2 linked regions of the Yarrowia lipolytica genome follow. The protein of the gene in region 2 binds, or shares a complex with, the protein of the main gene of each other region. Links are inferred from orthologs where the notes say so. Each region holds a gene or a part of one and is shown on either strand. Other genes may lie near its edges.

Region 1 (3,864 bases), on a different chromosome or scaffold from region 2:
TCTGCAAATTCTGCGTGAATGCCAAATCTTGCATGGCGACTTCAAGCCAGATAATGTGCTGGTCAACGCCAAACGGTCGTCCACTCGCCTGTGTGACTTTGGTTCGGCCGTGGAGGCCAACAAGGACCAAAAGGCGTGGACGGAACCCATGCCGTACCTTGCATCGCGGTTCTACCGGGCCCCCGAGCTCATTCTGGGCGCGCCCTTTGACTACGGAGTCGACATGTGGTCCGCTGGATGCACTCTCTACGAGCTGTACACCGGATGTATTCTGTTTGCAGGCTCGTCCAACAACCACATGATCAAGTGTATCATGGACGTGCGAGGCAAGTTTAGCCACAAGCAGCTTAAAAAAGGCAAGCTGACGGAAAAGTACTTTGACGAGAACCTCGACTTCAAGTCCGACGAAGTGGACCCCCATACTGGACGAATGATCACACATACACTACGATACACACAAAACCAGGCTCCTCTGCCTGTCAAAAAGCTGCTGGGCAAATGCAGAGAGACCGGATCAGATATCATCCTACAGGGCCATCTGATCGATCTATTAGACAAGCTCTTTGCACTCAACCCCGAAAAGCGAATGACCCCAGAACAGGCACTCGAGCATCCCTTCTGTCATGATAGAGAGGCTGACATAGACCAGCTCGACCCCCAACACAAAGCATAAGATACAAGAGAGCAGCCACTTTGGGCATGTAAAATAGACGGAGGAAAGGCACGCATAGAAATAAGTTATTCCAGACTGTGTGATGTACACAGCTTCAATCAAGTTCCCAAGTTTACTGTAGCCGAGGTTGATGTTACCTTGCACCTTGCTGAATCTACTACAAGTATCCTTTTGACAACATTCAGGTTGCTTCTGTTTCTGTTTCCTGTTTCTGTTTCTGTTTCTGTTTCTGTTTCTGTTTCTGTTTCTGTTTTCTGTTCTGTTTCCTTTCACTCCCTTTTGCTTCCAGTAGTTGTGTTTCTGTTCATCCCTATAGTAATTGAGTGACTTCATACAAGTTGGTACAAGTTCTGTACTTATGAGTACTGTACTCGTACGAACACTTGTAGTACAACCGCTTGTTTGCCTCGTACAAGTACTTCTCACTTGCGCTCCACGATATATCGTAGTTAGAGATCGTCGGAGTGCCGCACAATTCAACAAACGAGCTTCTACTGTGTCACAACCGTTATGGTATAAAAGCCACTTGCACACCACCATTCGCTCCATACCTCTACTATGGCGATTCGTATCGGCCATTGTCCTTCGCTCTTTCACCATCTTTCGCTATGCTATAATTTACTATGTACATTTAAATCTTGTGTCGTGCCTTGGGGTCGGTATGGTAAGGAGACCAGATACCTCGGACACTCTCGTTTATACTTTCAACGGGGCTCTTCATCTGCTTTCGGGGAGCTCCGTCGGAGCTCTTGAGCATCTCAAACTTGCCGTTGATGAATCGGGGATGCTTGTTCTTGCAGCAGATGGTCTTCTCGGCACCGTTGACAAACTCGCCTCGGATGAAGGGGTGGCCAATGTCCTTGACAGCCACAAACTCGATCTCGGGGTTCTGAGCAGCAATCTTCTGCAGGTTCTTGTCCAGGTATTGTCTGTGTTAGTGTGATCTGAGACGCGGTGGATGTCTGAATTCAAAGACCAAACAAAGATGACACGTCACACCACACGCACTGGGTAGCATTCTGCTCTTCATCTAGCACCCCACTTGTGCCACTGGCATGTCTGTACCTCCATCTATGTCCGTGTCCAAGTCACAGTTCAGTTCCCCGTTGTGATACTCACCTCATTCCGTCGGAAGAGCCACCCCAGTTGCAGTACCGGAAAGTGACCTTCTTGCACTGAAGCACAAAGTTGCCGACACCGTTGAGGTTTCGGGCAACAGTCTGGTAAGCTGGTCGAGCCGACATTTTTGTGTGTTGAATGTAGATATTTCAGATTGATCTGTGCGTTGCGTTTAGGCTCCTGTAATTTTGCAAAGGTAGGGTAACTGTGGAGGCCCGAAGGGGGGGAGGAGTAATTCTTGGTAATGAGAGACAATTAATATGAAGGAGAGCATTTTAAATGGAAGAAAAACAACAATAGAGACAGTGTGGATTCTTCCATACAATAATTACCAATATTAGAAGAGCTTGAGGGGGTATTGATCTGCCCTTCAGAGTTCAACTAAGCCAAATACAGTTACTAATGTTGGGGCATTTATTAGTTAGCTAATTGTCAAACGTTTACTTAGCCTTCTCCCGCCTCTTTCGACTACCGCCACTGAAGTCATCAACAAGGTTCCAATGCAGAGCGAATCAAGACCAAGCTGAAGTCGTCTTGAACACCACAACTCACTCGCTCTCACGACAAAAACAATGCTGCGAACACGAGCCGTCGGAATCTTGTCCCGCTCGATCCACACCTCTCGGGTGTGTGCGAAAAACGTCAAGCTCGAAAACCCGTGGTTCAAGGGCGAGGGACCCATGGAGCGAACCAAGCGAAAGCTCGAAAACACGGCTGCTCGTCCTGGAGGAGCTCTGGCCGAATACGATCTCTACGGCGATCTTGAGACGGCCCACAACAACGTGGAGGCCGTGCTTTCCAACGGCTTTGTGTTCAAGGACGACAAGGTGCTCAAGAGCAAGTCTCCCAGCGGAAAGAAGCCCGTTGGAGCCATTCTGATGGGCCTTTCTGAGGTGCTGGCCTGGAACCTTACTCCCGAGTGCGTCAAGGGTCTCGATACCGGTCTGGTTGAAATCGATCCTGCTGCACTGGGTGTCTTTGAGGTTGTCTACCCTCGTCCTGAGCTGCTCATCTTCGGCCTGGGAAAGAAGTCGCGAGTGCTGTCGCCCAAGACCCGAAACTATCTCAACTCTCTGGGAATCTCCGTCGAGATCTCTGACAGTGCCAACGGAGCCAAGAACTTTGATCTTCTGGCCACCGAGCGTCCCGGTCTTGTTGCTGCTGCTCTCTTTCCTCCTGACCTGTGATTAGAAGGACAAAAGAGCAGCAATGTATATAGTAAAGTATTTATTTGTGTATCAAGGGGAGGGTGGAGACGGTAGTATGAGCGGATGGTCAGTATAGTACAAGTACAGTGTACTTGTTATTGCAAACAGCCTTGTAGCTCGCTGATTCTTCCTGGGGCACACTGTAGGTCTGAAAAACTCGATCACGTCTTGAAAAGTCTTCTTCAGAAGAATATATCCAAAAAAAAACCTAGAAAAACAAACTAGCGACGATATTCTGTTCGCTTTCCCCTTGTATTTACTTCTTCTCTACCTTTCTTGTATAACTCTCTTCAATCCCATCTCACTTCACCCTACTCACGATGTCAGATAAACTTCTGATGCACAACACTAATATTTCAAACCAACATCACGACCATCAACATCACTACACACACTAACAGCATCCATAATCATGGTGAGTATCTGCGCGACATTTGCTCTGCAATCAACAACAAGGCTAACCCAGGCTGAATTGGAACGGCTACCCCCTCACATCCAGCGGCTCTTCCCCGAGTGTCCCGAGCCACGGTACCTGGAGCCGATCGACTATGCTCCTGAGGACCGAAGAACGCAGAAAATCTCAGGCGTTTCGGCGTATATGGAGCTGTTGAAGCAGCCCGATTCGGAATACGTGCCGACCGAGTCGTGGCTGGTCAAACAGCAGCGAGAGAAGCGGCTAAAAAGTGAGCGCCAAAAGGTGACCCAGCAGGAACGAAAAGAGGCATGGGATCCCAAGAAGGACGACAAGATTGTGGGCGATCCGTTCAAGACGCTATTTGTGGCGCGTCTGGCGTTCGACGTGACTGAAAACGACCTGGAGGAACATTACATCAAGTTTGGGCCTGTCAAACACGTACGTATTGT
Region 2 (4,990 bases):
AAAATACTTTTGTAAACCCCAAAACAGTGCATATGGCGAGTCAGACGGCTCCTGTGTATGTTCCTTGGAGGTGGCAGGAGTAGCAGTTTTCTCCTTCACCTTTTCCTTCATTTCATCCACGCCCATATCGACATCCTTGTCTTCATTTTCATTTTCATCTTCATCGTCATCGTCATTGTCATCTTCATCGTCATCTTCATCTTCATCTTCATCAACCTCCTTGTGCTCCTTGGCTCCCTCGTATCCTTCAAACACAGTGATGTTCTCCACATTGAACTCGCCCTTCTGATTCAAGCCAGATCGCTCACTCAGCGGGAAAGCACGTGACAGAAAAATAAGAATCTCGCCGGCAAAAACGGCATCACGTGACTTACTCACTCGTCGCAGCAGAGCATTGGCCAGTCGAATCAGGGTGGTGCCTGGTGCCTTGCGGCCACTAAGCCGTGTCACCGAGTTCGATGACGCCTGGTTTCGTGACACGTTCATCAGCTGTTCCTCACGTGATACCAGGTAGTGGGTCCAAAAGTGGCGGCACCAGTCGACTGTGTGAATGTCGAAAATGTCTTCGACCAGAGCAAGTGTCAAAGTTGATTCTAGAAGCGGCTTCTCGTCGGATGAAGTTGTTTGAGACTCATAGGTGATGCAGTCGAGTAGAGCAGCTAGAGATCGTCCTCTCTTGTCCTCTGGTTGTAGCATGATCTTCTCAAACATAACTTGTCGGAAGATGTTATCAAGGTTGTCGGTGGGGTTGGCGTCCATGTATTTTTCGCACCATTGTCGGAATCCGCTTTTTTCGATCGTTTTTGACTCTAGACGGGTGTAATCGGTCTTGTAGTGGCCACTGACCTTATCCAGGATCGTCACCAGCTTTTTTTCCATCGTGTTGTGGTTGCGTGTGTGTATGCAGGTTCTGATCAGGTTGGTGATGTTCTCTGGTGGTTGAACTTTGTTGTGGAGCGGTTTTAATATGGGAGTGATACGTGAAAAAAAAAAAAAAAAAAAAAAAAAAAGAAGAGAAAAGAACACGAGCAAACAAAAGCTGTTCAGATGAATGAGGTGTGTTTTTATTGTCGTATCTTTGCTATTATGATCCACAGATATTTTCGTACTGATAACTACACTACCCGCTGGGAAAAAGAGCTGAGTAATGGGACAGAGAGCAGTACGAGTAAAGTACAGTATCTACAGTAGGGTGGTTGTGTTTGCGGTACATTGTTTGTCACAGACGTCCCCAGGTTAACTCCTTCAATGTCATCCAGTGATCACACACTCTCAAATTGTCCCCTACACCCTCTCCCCCACACCCTCAATTATCGAGTTCATCGTTTAACTATATACATATGGGTTTTCATTAGTCTCTCGACTTGTCCTTCTTCTTGTACACCTGAGACCGGGGATACTTGAGCACATAGGAGGCGGTATCCTTGAGCTTGTCGTAATGAGGTCGGTCAATCTTGTTCTTGTAGATAAAGGCCTCGTCGTGAGCAGGCAGAGTGGGAGGCTGCTTCTTGTCCACCAGCGACTCAGCGTCTCGAGTCTTCTTGGCAAAGAAGGATCGCAGCTCGTAGAAGCAGTGCATACACAGAGTGTGCATTCGCTTGACATGTCCACAGGCAGGACATCGGTTGAGGTTAGTCAAGGGCTTGAGGGCCTTTGTGTCAGCGAGGAATCGCTTTCGTTTTTGGCCGTACGACACCTTCTTTTTGGGCACGGCGTACACAATGCCGTGGTCGCAGTCCTCATGCTTATGCTGTTCCAGATCCACCTCTCGGCTGGGGGTCTCCAGATCCAGATCATGCTGGGCTCCTCCGAAAAGACCTCCCAGAAGACCGGGGGCAAGAGTGACGCTCACGGCCACGGGAATCTGGGCGCTGAGAGCAGCCACAAACGGCTTGGTCAGTTGTAGAGCCATTTTGGATCGTGTGTGTTGTGTGATGATCTCAGACTCGAGGTGGTGAATATGGTTGGGAGGATTTTTCAGAGTCACGTGATGGGAACACTGTGGTTACTGGGTTAGGGTTTAAATTTGGAGGACGAAGAGAATGGAGAATATATGTCGATGAGCCGATTCTCGTGATATATAACGCTTGTTTGTTGTCGTTGAGAAGTAGATGATCTCAAGAATCTATTGGTCATCAGTAAGAGACCATAATAAAATAAAAATAGTCGCTCAACCGCAAGTTCGCGTCTGAAAGGCCTCCAGGGACACAAAAACAAGATCAAAAAAGGTGAGATCCCTATATAAACCCCATTTTTATCACCTGGGGACTTTAGGTCGTTCATTACACTTATTTCTGGTTGTATTACTGTGTCTTGTCTTGAGATTAGCTACGACCTCGTCAGTCGCAACAAACAAGACTGATTCTCGCCAATTGCTTAATAATATAAATTGAAATCATTCCTAATCTCATAAACATCACGTGATCGAGTCATTGATCAAATATTATCCTCAGCCCCCTCCAAATCACCCATGTCTGGCACATTTGGCTAATCTCACACATTCCCTCCCGTTACCCGGCCTCCAACTTGAAAATTAAAGTTCAGGGGAAACGCGACACGCATTACATACACCCTATTGTACGTATCACCAACACACATCTGTACCACCACACAACCACTCATAAATGATGTCCACCGAAACCATCACGCCCGGCAGCAAGGTCGGGTTCGACTCCATCACCCAGCAGATTGAGCGACGGCTTCTGAAGCGAGGGTTCCAGTTCAACCTGATGGTTGTGGGCCAGTCTGGTCTCGGAAAGACCACGCTCATCAACACTCTGTTTGCGTCGCAGTTGGCATCTTCTTCTGGACGAACTGAGGCCGGCGAACCCATCACTAAGACCCCCGACATCAAGTGCGTCAGTCATGTGGTTGAGGAGAACGGCGTGCGTCTCAAGCTCAACATCATCGATACCCCTGGTTACGGTGACCAGGTCAACAACGAAAAGTGCTGGGACCCCATCACCAAGTACATCAAGGACCAGCACAGCCAGTACCTTCGAAAGGAGCTGACTGCGCAGCGAGAGAAGCATCTTCCCGACACCCGGGTGCATTGTGTGCTCTTCTTCATCCAGCCCACCGGCCACGGTCTCAAGCCCATCGACATAGTCGTGCTCAAAAAGCTGACTGAGATTGCCAACGTGGTGCCCGTCATCGCCAAGAGCGACTCGCTAACCCTGGCCGAACGACAGGCCTTCAAGGAGACCGTGCAGATGGAATTTGCCCACCACAGACTCAAGCTGTACCCTCTGGACTCGGCCGACTACGACGAGGACGAACAGTATCAAAACGCACAGATCAAGCAGTTTATCCCCTTTGCTGTGGTTGGCTCCGACAAGAACGTTGTTGTGAAGGGCAAGACTGTGCGAGGACGAAAGACCCGGTGGGGTGTTGTTAACGTGGAGGACGAGACTCACTGCGAGTTCCCCTACCTGCGAAACTTCCTCATTTGCTCCCATCTGCAGGATCTCATTGAGACTACCGCCCATGTGCACTACGAGGCGTTCCGATCCAAGCAGCTTCTTGCTCTGAAGGAGAACACCAGCAGTGGTCAGAGTGCTGGCATTTCGCCCGCTGGTGTCCCCAAGCCTCAGCCCCAGCCCCAGCCCCATTCCCAGCATCCCTTTGCTTCCACCGCCGGTGTGCCTGGCAGTGCAGGATCCGCAGGTCCTAACACCAATGGTATCCAGCAGCCCGTTGGGGCTCCCCCAGTGCCCAGTGGCTACTACAAGCGGTAGGACGAATCATGATGTGTGGTAATGTAATATTTTAGGTAGCTTGTTTGCTAATAGTGAATTTATTTGGTGTTATGGAGAGGCCGTTAAGTAGGTGGCGGAAGAGGGTGGATATGCAACATTGAATACGAGGATGGCGAGGGTTACTGGATCGATTGACAGGTGGATCGACATTCTAGACACGATACACGCGTGACTGGAGGAGATATGGTGTATTAGTGATGACAGTTCTCATCCGTACAAGTACCGGTACATGAGTCACTGGGCATTGGAACATCTGTACCCAGTGCAGTACAGTATGTAGACAAATCTTCCACTGATTGGGTAAGATGGGTAGGTTACTCATGAATCGAACTTGCAACGATGGTTCAAGCTCAATCGACGTCCATATTGGTAGCATGGTCCATTGCGTGATCTTTTATGTCTTGGATCTCGACCAGGAAGTTACTGCAAGTACGGTGCGAGTCCCGTCTAAACGGTGAACCGGCGCATAACACCAGCACATATTGAGACATGTTTTGAGGTGAGTGGTAGATATTTCGGTCTTGTTTGAACCAGCTTGGAATCCCTAGTATATTGATTCCGTTGTTGGTTTCGGCTATCATATAAATATTGTGACTATGATGCTCTTGTTCAGTCCGTCAGTCAAGAGGTTAGGCACCAGTCAATCAGAAGGGGTGTGTTGTATGGTAGTTGCATATCCGATGTAGCACACAGCAGATGTCAGGTTTGAGGGACATGTTGGACATGCCACATTGGCCACATCATTCCACCTTTCCAGAAGGTGTGCAAAATGCTCATATTTCTTTTTCTCGTATTTCAAACGTCTGATCAGCTCGTCCAGCATAATGCTGCATGAACCTACAAGGGGCCGAGGCCGGGAGAGCATAGTCTGTAGAGAAGAGCGGCGATCGAGGGGGGAAGGTGCTATGCGGGCGATTGTGGTTTTGTGTAACTTTCGCTTTCGTCGGACGGCAGGCTAGTATGTCTTCGCCTTTCAGGTCTGCTTCATCAACAGTGGATCATGCCCGTCCCTACTTGGTGGCAGGGCTTGCTATTATTGTAGTGTCTACCTGCTTCCCAGCTGTGTGTCTGGTATAACCGTTCCCAAAGCGGCGTTTCGGTGCATCGACGATGACAATGGATTCCACGAGCTTTGGGGATGCGTTTCAAGGTCTTGATTTCGAGTGTTTCTCGGGAAAACGGGGTCCGTGGGCCGTACTTATACCGGCATTTTTGACGGTCCTTTCTACCAC

The links. The genes of interacting proteins can lie anywhere in the genome.
Region 1: YALI1_C29148g (region 2) and YALI1_E13823g share a complex: the UniProt entries of both Saccharomyces cerevisiae proteins name them as parts of the mitochondrial large ribosomal subunit. The link is inferred for Yarrowia lipolytica from reciprocal best matches to the Saccharomyces cerevisiae genes MRPL32 and MRPL51.

Annotation. Positions count from the first base shown.
Region 1 is NC_090774.1:1,380,351-1,384,214, reverse strand, and holds YALI1_E13823g (mitochondrial 54S ribosomal protein mL43), read right to left. Parts: upstream 1,918-3,864; coding exon 1,793-1,917; intron 1,603-1,792; coding exon 1,305-1,602; downstream 1-1,304. Other genes in the region: YALI1_E13848g (uncharacterized protein), read left to right, coding at 1-673; YALI1_E13818g (uncharacterized protein), read left to right, coding at 2,365-2,979; YALI1_E13808g (uncharacterized protein), read left to right, coding at 3,413-3,864. UniProt on the Saccharomyces cerevisiae protein: Component of the mitochondrial ribosome (mitoribosome), a dedicated translation machinery responsible for the synthesis of mitochondrial genome-encoded proteins, including at least some of the essential transmembrane subunits of the mitochondrial respiratory chain.
Region 2 is NC_090772.1:2,911,746-2,916,735, reverse strand, and holds YALI1_C29148g (mitochondrial 54S ribosomal protein bL32m), read right to left. Parts: upstream 1,913-4,990; coding exon 1,352-1,912; downstream 1-1,351. Other genes in the region: YALI1_C29158g (uncharacterized protein), read right to left, coding at 1-879; YALI1_C29141g (uncharacterized protein), read left to right, coding at 2,625-3,737. UniProt on the Saccharomyces cerevisiae protein: Component of the mitochondrial ribosome (mitoribosome), a dedicated translation machinery responsible for the synthesis of mitochondrial genome-encoded proteins, including at least some of the essential transmembrane subunits of the mitochondrial respiratory chain.